Linked DNA regions of Arabidopsis thaliana. The protein of the gene in region 2 purifies or fractionates together with the protein of the main gene of each other region. This does not show direct contact. Each region holds a gene or a part of one and is shown on either strand. Other genes may lie near its edges.

Region 1 (5,510 bases), 2.7 Mb from region 2:
ATATAACATTCATCAACAACAAAAAAAAAAAGAGAAAGAAAACATTATACCTCTTCGAATCCGAGTAGAGTACTCTTTCCATGTTCTTCTCCTGTGACCTCCTCAGGGCTTTTGTCGTATACAAACTTAACAGCCGATATACCATCTTGGGCTTGTCCTACGTACACCTTCTTAACCCCAACGTAAGCACCATCATCCCATGCTGTTCCATCATCACTACCAAGTGCCGGTAGCGGCTTGGCAGGAGTCAATGGGATAGTCAACGGAGCAAAGTAAGCTCCAAGAGAATTAAGATTGTCTCCGGCAGACCCATGAAAGCCAATGATCTTCTTGTCTTGAACTTGGAGAAATGATCTAGTACCACGATCGTATCCAATGAAACGAGAAGTCTTTTTGTTGGATATGAACCTAAGCCCTTGAATAAGACCATCAGGTTTATACCAAATTTCAATAGAAACTAGATGCTCCTCAGGATGGTTAATCACAAACTGTAGAGATCAAGTTCAATATGTCAATACTTCAACGTAAAACAATAGATTTTCTATAAAAATTAGAAGAAGTCAAATAAGCAAGGAAAATGTATAGGAACCGGATCAGTTGGAATGGTACTGCCTTTGATACCACGAAGAGGAGTTTGTTCGGTTTGTCCGTTCTTGACGTAATCGAACTGAATGTATTGAATTCCCATTCCGCCTACTGCAACCTGAATCTTGGTCACGGCGTCATGATCGGATCCATCGTCCCATTGGTTGCCTCCTTTCCCTCCTTTTGCTTCAACCTTTTGAGCCATATTTTGCTTGCTGATCAATCTTACTATAGTTACTATAATTGGAAAAAAAAACAAATTGTGAATTTTCAATTATTAACCAATTTTGTACTAATAGAGAGGAAAAGAGAGATGACCTTCAAAAGTGAGTAGATTGTGATCGATTTAAGTGAATCATAGGTGTTTATATTGACTTCTTGCATATAACCATATATCCGCATATAGGATCATTGATCGTACTAGCAGAAATAATAATCTATTATTTCGTGATCCACGAGGCATATTTAAAACATTACCGGAAGAAATACATGTTCAAATATTCATATACTCCTTTTTTACTTCCACAGCTTCTCAACTAATCGTCTTTATATTGGTGTTGGCCAATGAAACGATGGCAGCAAGCTAATTAGTTCTTTTAAAATTCACAGAGTCGTCAATTTTATTATATACGTTATTACTTGTAAAGGGTGCAAGTTGCAATTTATATAAGTCAGAATTCTACAATTAGTGACCCCCTTTTTAGGACTCTAATTGGTTGACGATTTGATAAGTCTTGTAAGAACATGTTTCCACAGCATTGTACATTATTTCAAACAGTAAAAGTATAATTGAAATCACCTAAGAGAAATTAGAACCAAGAGTATATATATAATACAATTTTCTGTAACGCTCAATCTAGAAACAAGAACCGGTTCGTATTTTTTGGCCAACTCATATACTTTTAACTAATAACTTTTTATGTTTGGAGAAGGCCAAAAACTTCAATATGGTCACACATTCTAGATAAAAACTTTGTGCAGGATTTTTTTACTGAGAAAATACGAACAACTATATATTTGATCCAAAAAAGTTAACATTTGCATTTTAAATTGTACAATTCATACGTTGAGATTTTAGTTTGAATTATAGCAAGTAAAATTAGTATCAGAACCAAATAATGGCAAAAGTAAGTATTATAGAACATATAGGGAAACTAAAGATCAGATTGGAACAAACTTCCTTTATTAAAATAGAGCACAAGAAGAACAAAGAAAAAACAACATCGCAAGAGACAACGCGTAAAACACTTATCAAAGATCACCATTCACCAGAGGCATGAAGAGACCTCATATGAGAAATTTAGAAGATAGATTTGATAACTTATTAGATGCATGGAATCAAGGATAAAGAGCTCCATCATCAGTTGGATAAAGGACGAACATGGACTCCAATTTTGTGGAGCAGAACATCGGCTCTTCCATGGAAACCAACGATCTTGTGGCCTTCCTCTTTGAGTTCGAAGACTGTGCCAGCTTCAAGTCCAAAGGGAGGAGACGTTTGCTTATTAGTCTTGAACCTGAGCATAGTTATGACTGAGCCATCACTCCCAAAGATTTTATCATAAGTGCCATCGACTGCGGTGATGTATTCACTTGGATAGTCAAGTACGAACTGCAGTTATTGGAAACCAAATAAAACAATTGAATACATTATGATGGAAACCGGAAGAGAATTTGAATTCTCTGATGTATAATTTTTACATTCAACAAAAAGAGCAAAGAAAGTATTATACCTCTTCGAATCCGAGTAGAGTACTCTTTCCATGTTCTTCTCCTGTGACCTCCTCAGGGCTTTTGTCGTACACAAACTTAACAGCTGAGATTCCATCTTGGGCTTGTCCAACGTACACCTTCTTAACCCCAACGTAAGCACCATCATCCCATACAGTTCCGTCATCACTACCAAATGCCGTTAGCTGCTTGGCAGGAGTCAACGGAGTTGTAGTAGTCAACGGAGCAAAGTAAGCCCCAAGAGAATTAAGATTGCCCCCGGCAGACCCATGAAAGCCAATGATCTTCTTGTCTTTAACTTGTAGAGTGAAGTGAGTACCCTCATCGGATCCAATGACATCAGAAGTCTTCTTGTTGGAGATGAACTTAATTCCTTGAATGATACCTTCAGGGCTATACCAACCTTCTACAGAAACTAGATGTTCGTCTGGATGGTTAATCACAAACTGTAGAAATAGATCAAGATGAAAATGTCAAAACTTCAAAATATAACAGTATACATATAGAAAGAAGAAGATTAATGGGCAAGGAAAATATAGGAACCGGATCAGCTGGGAGAACACGGCCTTTGGTACCACGAAGAGGAGCTTGTTCGGGTTGTCCGTTCTTGACATAATCAAACTGAACATATTGAATTCCGTCTATGCCTGCTGCGAGCTGAATCTTGGTCACGGCGTCATGTGTCGATCCATCGTCCCATAGGTTGGCTCCTTTCCCTCCTTGTGCTTCCACCTTTTGGGCCATCTTCTGCTTCTTGATAGTACTTACGAATTTCTGTAGTTGCAAAAATAAATTGTTAATATCTACTATTAACCAATTTTTACATAATAGAGAAGAATAGAGATAAGACCTTTTAAAGAGAGTAGATTGTTATCGGTGCTATGATCAATTAAAGTGAATTGTATGTTTATTTATATTGACTTCTTGATATTGATCGTACTAGATGAAATAATAAGGGAAATAATAATTTATTCTTTCGTGATCCACGAGGCATATTTATATAAAAAGCATTACTGGGAAAAACGCATGTTCATATACATTTTTTTTTTTAGATAATGAAAATATTCATATACTTCTACTTGCACAACTTCTCAACTAATCGTCTTTATATTGGCGTTGGCCCATTAAACGATGGCAGCAAGCTAATTCATTGTTTTAAAATTTAAAGAATCGTTTATCAATTAGATTATGTACGATTAATTATTTGTAAAGGGCTAAAGTTGCAAGTTGCAACATATATATACGTTCTCCTTATTAAGAGTCTAATTGGTTAAGATTTGGTAATTATTGTATGAACATGTTTTAAAGCCTTAATCATAATTTAAAAACAGTAACGTTTAATTCAAATCACCGAAGATTAATTAGAAGTTTAGAACCAAAGAGGAGACTAGATATATCATACAATATTCCGTAAAAAAAATCTAGATACAAGAACCGGATCATATGGATCTAGCCATAAAGAATACTCCAAAATATCACAACTAGTTTTAATAACTCTTAGGGAAATTTACGAATTCCTCTGAATTCAAAACTGCTTTTTTTTTTTTTATAACTGATTTATGAAATATTATAAAATTTTGCGAAGAATATTTCTAAAACAAATTCTGTATTCGTTGGTAAAAAGATTTATAATTGTATCATTTACACTGGTACTAAATATTAATCTAATTGAGAGACGCTTAATATGATTCATAAATTATCAAAAAAGCTTTCTAGCTCGACTGCAAATGTACCATGGGATATTCCAAGAAGTCGCACGATCGAATGAAAGCTGGTACGTATAAATTATTAAAAGTTGATCTAGATCATCAATCAAGAAAACATCCTATTTAACAAAAACAAAGGTTAACATGTAGTATGTATTTATTTATATAATTATCTGTTGCGAATGTGAAACAATCGATAGAAATTACACTAGCTAAGTAATTAATAATAACTATTTGATCATCTATAACTATATTATTCAATACTTATATGATCAAAATATGTAAGCTAGTGGTTTTTGGTATTTCTTGTTGATGTGTTACCTTTCTAGTTGAAACCTGCATATTTACTTATTATTAAAAAATAAATTCAGTAATAATATACCTACGTCTTGGCATTATCTATTTAAAATGAAGTGGGTACAAACTTATAATTAATATAAATAAAAAAGAGATTTTAATATTGCAATCATGTTCCCATCACTTCATCAGTCATCATAAATAGCACCCCAATAATTTAACTTAGAGTAAACAATAGTTATTGAGATATGAAAATCATTCCAAGATAGCAACAGCCAGCCAACAGTGGACTTTTGAAAAATTAAAACAAATACGTAAACAAAATTAAACTCAACCATAATCATGAATATTTTGATGAAGATATACCTTTCCAGTCTTCGATCTACGTTCGTGCGTATTGAGCTTATCGTTCTTCTCGTTCTCGATCGTCTTCGCACACAAGGCCAAGAATATATATATATTTTTTTTAATGGGAAAAAAATACCAAATTTACGTTTTGTTTTGCATGTGAAGGTACTTTAGTTTGACTCTTTTTGTCGAGTTATTGCTTCCATTCGTTAAAATATTTTTTTCAAAATACTACAAAATGGAAAATTTATGACAAGCAAATATATAAATTCTTGCCAAAAAAGTTTTTTTCTTTGTTTTTAAAATGATTGACAACATTTTATCTTTTGACAAAAAAAAAGACAAAATTTTATCTAATAAAGGTTACAAATTAAACAGCTTTTATTTACGAATTAAGGTTACAAATTAAACACTTAGAGAGTGGGCTCGGTTAGCCTACCTTAACCTTCCTCATTGCCCGCATAGGTTCTACTCCACCAGACCAATTAAGTCCCACCAGATTCACACTTATGAATCTTAAGAGAAGACCTTGATAAAAACACACACACACACACTGACACACACATGAATCACTAACATGAGTGAGTGGTGACTAGTTACACATCTCAACTTTAAAGTCTCATTAAGTGTTACTATTTACTATAATTTTGATCGTATAGGTTTTAGGGTTTAGTTGAATAGTTAGTTTTCATTTATCCTCATGCATCCAAGTATAGCATAACACAATTATCAGTTTATCACATTCCAACAAAACGATGCTTTATTCAAAGAAGCAGACCACTTCATAACACATAACAAACAAACGAAGCAAGACATAGTTAAAAGAGAGTAACTAGAAGCTGA
Region 2 (7,058 bases):
CACATAATCACATTGCATGATTGATCAAATACTCGATTTTCCGTGAAATCTCTTTGAATATTTCGATTCCTTGTTACCATGGCGCTTCATGGGTCTGGAGTTTTTTGTAAAGTAAGCTATAATTCTTCTCTTTGAGATTTACTTCCTTGATTCTTCAGCTCTAATCTATACTTAAATGTTTATCATACGTTTCTCGTAAGTAATCTCGAAATTTAGTCGATTTTCAATAAGAGCCCATTGATATTGGATGATTTATGGTTCATATACAGAGTTCTAATCTTGTCTGGTGTGAGAATTCTTACGGATTAGTAGGTATTGTACTAAGATTAAACCCTAGAAGAAATTCGATCAGAAAGTGTTTGAATTTCAACACTGAGATGTTCAATATCCGAATTTGTTGCTACTCCACTTGATGCAAATGGTTATGTGATTCTATTGTTGTGCTAATATGGCCTTGAATCGTTTGCTCCCTGATAGGTTTCAAACATGGTAGAGATCACTTCTCCGTTTGGTGGTTCCATGAGGCTGCTTCACTTGCCTAAATCTTATCCGATTCACTGCAACATGGTTTCAGCTAGCAATACATTTGGGTCAGCTCATCTCAAGCTGCAAAACAAAGAACCGTGTGAGTCTACTTGATTTTAGTTCGAGCATCTTATCTAGTAGAAGATCTGGTTTTGGATAAGACCGGTTTCTTTAGACTTGGTTCTGATTAGTGTTCTGGTAACATTTGAAGCAGGCTCCCGTTTAAGGCCTTGTCGAGTCAAACGCGAAGAAAATAACCAAACTGCGGATGTTGAAAGCATTTCAATGGATGAGAACACGTTGAAGCAAGATCTCGAGACTGCGGTCCAGGAAGAGAATTATGTGGAGGCAGCTAAAATCCGTGATAAACTAAAAGAGCTTCAAGAAGACAACAAAGCCTCTGTTTTATCAGCCAATTCTCGGTTCTACCAATCTTTCAGAAACGGGGATTTAGCTGCGATGCAATCACTATGGTCAAAATCAGGAAACCCGTGCTGTGTACATCCAGGGGCCAAAGGCATAACTGGTTATGATTACGTGATGGAAAGCTGGGAGCTTGTGTGGATGAACTATGAGTTTCCGTTACTGATTGAGCTGAAAGATGTCGAGGTTCATGTCCGAGGAGAAGTAGGTTATGTAACGTGTATGGAGTTTGTGAAGACGAAAGGGAGTAGTAGTTGGGGAGCTCAGTTTGTGTCGAATGTGTTTGAACGGATCGATGGACAATGGTTTATATGCATTCACCATGCTTCTCCTGTTGATATTTGATCAAAGAATCGAAGAAACGATACACATTTTCAAAACGTTTTATTTTTATATGCGTTTGGAGGTTGCGGTGGGATACATTGGTGGTTTGCTTAAGGGTGATGAAGGACTGTTTTTTATTTCTGAGGTTGGCGATTGGGAATGAAAACGCCACACAAACGAGAAGAGGCATAAGTTGTGACGTTTGTACTAGAAGAGGCACAAAGGATCATTTTATTATAACCAGAGCCTTGTAGATCTGGCAAATCATGTAGACAATGAAAAATGAGAAGAAAAATAAACTCTTTTTATTAGAACCAAGACCTCATGAATCTTGGTCACTCACAAAGTAAAACATAGGAAAAACACATTGAAACAGAAATAGCTTAAAGCTCATCCTTCTTGAGCGCGGATGGACGAACACCTTGACTGAGGAAATCCTTGTAATACTTGCCGGATTCTTTCTCGTAACGTGTGAGGTTATTTTTGAAATCAACGTAGTAGAGTCCAAATCTGTTTTTGTAACCATCTTGCCACTCGAAGTTATCCAACAATGACCATACAAAGTATCCTGTAACATTCACTTTGTCGATGCTGCAGATATTACACAAATGTTTTTATTAGATTCTTCACTACAATTGTTAGTATATCAGATGAAAAGGAAATAGGACATACCAAACAGCTTCTTGCATACTCAAAAGATGCCTCTGAAGATAATATTTCCTGTTATGATCAGCGGTACCAACAGCAACAGAATCTGAGGCCCCTAGTTCTTCTCCATATCCTAAAGAAGAACATCAACATCAATATATTTAGTTCTAAGATAAAATCAACCAAATAATAGTTGACAGTAACAATAGAATCTCTAGTTACCGTTTTCCATGATCATAATTTCCGGATTTGCGTATTTGTCCTTAATGTACTTCAACAGACTTCTAAAACCTCTCGAGTAAACGTTCAATGCAGCGGTCAAAGGCTGAAAATAAAACAGAGGTGAGAATGTTGCATCATAGACAAATGTAGCACATAAAAATTTCAGATTGCTATTAAATTTATACCTTGCTACCAATGGCGTAATTTTGCGCATTCTTAGCTGAAAAGAAGAGATAGGTTTCGATTAGTACCAAAAACAAACATTTTCCCTTTGATTTGTTGCCATTGGTTTTCTTGGTTCGGTTTCAAGTAAGGGCAAAACAAACTTACACTCCCATGTAATAAGAGAATCTTGCATCCATCTTGGTTTTGAAGGATCAGGTTTCTCCAAATGGTTTGAAAACACTGAAGTATAGTAGTTGAGCCCAACGAAATCGGTAGAAGCTTTCAGTTTTGCTTTCTGCTCAGTTGTAAATTTAGGCAATCTATGTCCAACAATGTCTTTCATGATCTGTGGATAATCTCCAAATGTAGTTGTGTCTAGATGCCTACAAAAACCATCAAAATATCGTCATATAAAATTTCAAGATATTTAGTATAGTACTAATTAATTAGGGATGTTATAACTTATACTTACCATCCCAAAATAAAGTCAAGTGCACGGTCGATGGACGCACCGTCTTGTGAATCAGCAAGGTCATGTGCTTCGAACCAAGCAGGACTATGTGCAATTCCGATCTTCCCACCTTTACACTATGGTCATAATTTAACATAATACAAAACAAACTATTTTCAGATCCGAAAGATGATAGATAACTAATTATGATTTATATATGTGATGTACCTTTTCGCATTTCCGGTAAGCTTCAACTGCTTCTGCGTGAGAGATAAGGAGATTGTGAGTGACAAGGTAAGCCTCGTATCCTGATCGTCCGTCTTGGCATTTAGCATTGACGTAAGAAGAGCAACGACCAGGTGCCTTTTTGCCTACGTCATAGCCAGCGTGCGAGAAAACCCATGGCTCATTGAAAGTGATCCAATGTTTCACTTTTCCACCGTATTCTTGGAAAACAAAATCTGCATACTCTCGGAAATCCTTCCTACAATATTGCAAAAAATTGTTGAATATACCATTTATATTCGCATATCAAAGAAAACAAAAAGTGATTGGGGTTCGTTTTCCAACAGAAAAACTTACACAATCCTTTCGCTTAAAAAGCCGCCATATTCATCTTCTAAATCTTGTGGAGTGTCCCAGTGAAAAACAGTAACGAATGGAGTTATACCTAATTACAGAAAAAAATAAAAAATTAGAGAAGTTTAATACGTAAGAGATTATAAATGTTTTTTTTTTCGTTTTTAAGTGATTAATATATGTAACCATTTTTTATGAGCTCGTCGATGAGGTCGTGGTAGAATTGCACACCAGCTTGACTCACTCCTTTCTCCTTTCTCCCATCTGATAAAATTATTGTTTTGTTTCATTAATATAGCAATCATCGTAAATACACCAAATTCGATTGACACTAAGTAGTGATTAATAAATAACTAGATTTATTTGTATATCGATCAATCCTTATATATATTTACTCACGAGGAAATATTCTTGGCCATGCGATAGACATTCTAAAGGCGTCTGTGTTTAGATTCTTCATTAGTTGGATATCTTCCTGCAAACATTTTTCAGATGAGAATTTTTTTATCAACATCTAGTCTAAATGAATAATCAATAAACTATTAAGATATGCATATAATATGATAAATAATTTCTTCAATCTTTATTAATATATACCTTATAACGATGGAAGAAATCAACGGCCACATCGCCGTTATCGTTATTGCACCTCTCTGAAATATAAAATTAAGAAAAAATATAAGATTAGGTGAACCAAAACATTCTAACTATATACAGTATGTAAAAGATAATGTAGAAACACTCACCTGGATATCTTCTACAGTAGATGTCCCATAAGGCTGGTCCACGACAAGTTTCATTAATCGCACCTTCGACCTAATGCCATAGCAAAATAGCTTACGTGTTTAGGGAAATGGTTTAGAATTATAGGCTAAATTTTTCTACACGATATTGTTAAATTGCTGTTAAGTAACTATCATGATACAAATTTCATTCGATAATTTAGCAAAGAAAAGAAAAAAGTATCAGTACAATACTCTTACTTTGCTAACATTGTTTTGTTTTGAACTATAGTTTTGATGTTCTATATATTTTAATGTACAAAACATCGTCTTACAAATATAGAATTCTATACTCTCCAATATATATAGTTTTAAGATATATATGGATTCAACTATATATACTGTCTTGAACAATCTTGCACGGTAACATATTATTTGTGTGAAATAGTTCATAGATTTTTGTGTATATATATGTCAAGAGGTGCTCACAGAGGAACTTATATTGTACCTGGTATGCCGCAGTAGCCGTGCCAAATAAAAAACCTTCAGGGAAACTTGCCCGGCTTAGTTTGTTCGACGGCGGGCAAACAGGTCCATCTGCATTTGCTGGAGAGGCGACGATGGTCAGGAGCAAAAGCAGCCCAATGAGAGGAAGCTTTTGCAAAACCATTTTTGTTTGTAATTCTGATTTTATTCAAGAAAAAATGTTTAGGATGGTTCTTTTACATATCGAAGACGTTCTTTATATAGTGATCTTCGAATCAATTATTGATCTCTCTTTATGTTTTTATAATAATATACCCAGCCAGGCCATATTAATCAATTTTTAAGTTTTCATTTTGTATATATCAAGATATCGTGTTTTCTGTCATATCCTAATTATTACTACGTACATGGATATTGACGTTATAGGTTGTATATTGTTTCTTTACCTTTTTATTTGACTAAACTATATGCACAGTTATTATATTTAAATAGGATGATTTATTTGCATGGTCTAGACTCTAGATCCGTCGATCGTTGTATTTCTTTTGATTTTTTTAACATTTAGAACATATAATATTCCGCGTGTCCAACGAGTGTATATTAAAATGTGAAATTTATATGATTATTTTATTTAGTAATATCCAGTAATACCATATAATAATAAGGCCCTAATAATAACTCATATCGAATATCGTTGCCCGATTTTCTACAACTCCTATAATAAACAGTGGATTGTTTTTTTTTTCTCTTTTTTTTTCTGAAGGTAAAGACCACGGTCCGTGTCTGTATTTGTTTTCAAATTTTAAACATACTCCGATAATGAAAGAATGGAGTATAATACTATCTCGTGTTTCACGAGATACAACTTTATATGCATGATATCGGATCATCCAATGAATCATATTATATCAATAATTTCCCCAAAAAAGTAATCGTTATAACTGAAAAGAAAAAATGTAATCAACATGTTATCAGCTATGGTGGTCAACAGTTGGAACCATGGTTGTATCATCTTAGAGCATATTTCCCAATTAAGACATGTCTATCAGATAAGCTGTTGCTTACAAATGTATTAATGCTATCTAACAAGTAACAAGGGTGACTGGGTGAGCGACACCACTCCTCTTTATGTGGATACTGGATACGCCTTTAATCCATATCACATGTTTCAGCTGCAGTCTAGAATTTTCAGATAATATAAAGAAAAAGAAAAAAGTCAAAACAATATTAAACTGTAGTACTGAATAAATCTTTTTGATTTTTTTTTTTTTTTGTCGACTAAAAGAATGATGTTATCTTTTTTTTTACTTGTGAATTTTGTTCTTCTTTTTCTTTTGCCTTTTATTACAATAACCACCCGAAGAATAAATGAATCCTAACAATGAAACTTTTATTTTATATTATTTGACAATTTCGACTGTTGGGGACCAAATCTAAGCCGAGCGCATGCGTAACTATAAACTATTGACGTTGAACAAATAAATAGTGTTAAACTATATGTTTAAAATTGTTGATCTATCATAGTTTATCGAGCATATGGAACTACTATATATATGTTAGTCATGGTAGTTTAATATAGACATCCTATACATAAAAGAACTTAGAATCCTAGTCAAGTTGTTGGTACACTTCGTTGCAGTGGCGAGTCCAAAAACAATTTTCATTGGGGCAGGATTTACTTACACCCACACCACAGCATGTACATGCTTGGTATAAAAGAATGGTTTTTAAAGATCCACTAGGAAAAAAAGACTGATTCTAGCCAATTATTCCGATTGTCTCTCACAATTACTTATATAGACAAACAAATTCTGATGTGGAACTCGCACCCACACCAAAACGTGTACATCCGCTCTTGCTTGGTTGCATGTAATAATATAAATTTTATCAATACAATTTCAATGTATAGTTATGTTTTGCTAATGAATCCAATATAATTTTTAAGGACTATATCTATCGCCATAATGAAATCTGTTAGATTTGAAATAGATAAATAGTAGTTTACGGGTCAGAGAAAGAAAGGCTGTTTGTGTAGTTTTACACCATGCCAAATTGAAAATTTAACACTGGTCCAATAGAAAGAAAAAAAAAACTAACCACGTTGTAACTTCCATAAAATCTCATAAGTTTCGTGTTCCTTAAGGTATAAAGTAGGAGTTAGAATCGCTACGAATTATTTTCTCGTTTTTGAGTCAAAATATATAATTCCGATTCTTTTTTTCTCGTTATCTTCTCAGTTCATTTCGACGGTCGTATAAATCGTTTACTCGGTAATTTATTGGTGGACGGTGGGCTCTTCCATTTCCTTATTTTCTTAAAACATTTTTATTATATTAAAATATACCATGCGATCCACGTTAGTAATTTTATTATATAAAAAATTAGGTCGCGCTATTTGAAAGCGAAAATGATAGCATGACCATCTGAGGGATCCATCACCGTGCCTACAACTAGATGATTTCATAACACAAATGTATGTCGCCATGCTAATTTACCAATTAATTCCATAAGCT

The links.
Region 1: the proteins of PYK10 (region 2) and PBP1 purify together in Arabidopsis thaliana (affinity purification with western blotting, with the first as the bait; one study listed by BioGRID). This does not show direct contact.

What each region holds. Positions count from the first base shown.
Region 1 is NC_003074.8:5,577,110-5,582,619, reverse strand, and holds PBP1 (PYK10-binding protein 1), read right to left. Parts: upstream 3,331-5,510; 5' UTR 3,167-3,330; intron 3,146-3,166; exon of another isoform or gene 3,091-3,145; 5' UTR 3,061-3,090; coding exon 2,860-3,060; intron 2,763-2,859; coding exon 2,319-2,762; intron 2,198-2,318; coding exon 1,946-2,197; 3' UTR 1,588-1,945; downstream 1-1,587. Other genes in the region: JAL31 (jacalin-related lectin 31), read right to left, coding at 51-488, 590-790. UniProt on the Arabidopsis thaliana protein: Inhibitor-type lectin that may regulate the correct polymerization of BGLU23/PYK10 upon tissue damage. Activates BGLU21, BGLU22 and BGLU23.
Region 2 is NC_003074.8:2,839,002-2,846,059, forward strand, and holds PYK10 (Glycosyl hydrolase superfamily protein), read right to left. Parts: upstream 4,781-7,058; 5' UTR 4,730-4,780; coding exon 4,568-4,729; intron 4,154-4,567; coding exon 4,084-4,153; intron 3,991-4,083; coding exon 3,935-3,990; intron 3,813-3,934; coding exon 3,737-3,812; intron 3,602-3,736; coding exon 3,524-3,601; intron 3,429-3,523; coding exon 3,341-3,428; intron 3,243-3,340; coding exon 2,987-3,242; intron 2,896-2,986; coding exon 2,780-2,895; intron 2,691-2,779; coding exon 2,473-2,690; intron 2,363-2,472; coding exon 2,328-2,362; intron 2,246-2,327; coding exon 2,143-2,245; intron 2,054-2,142; coding exon 1,945-2,053; intron 1,864-1,944; coding exon 1,656-1,863; 3' UTR 1,585-1,655; coding exon of another isoform or gene 1,560-1,584; 3' UTR 1,476-1,559; downstream 1-1,475. Other genes in the region: AT3G09250 (Nuclear transport factor 2 (NTF2) family protein), read left to right, coding at 487-625, 740-1,253, 1,355-1,417, 1,560-1,584. UniProt on the Arabidopsis thaliana protein: Beta-D-glucosidase active on scopolin > esculin >> 4-MU-glucoside >> DIMBOA-glucoside. No activity with pNP-glucoside, oNP-glucoside and sinigrin as substrates. May possess beta-D-fucosidase activity.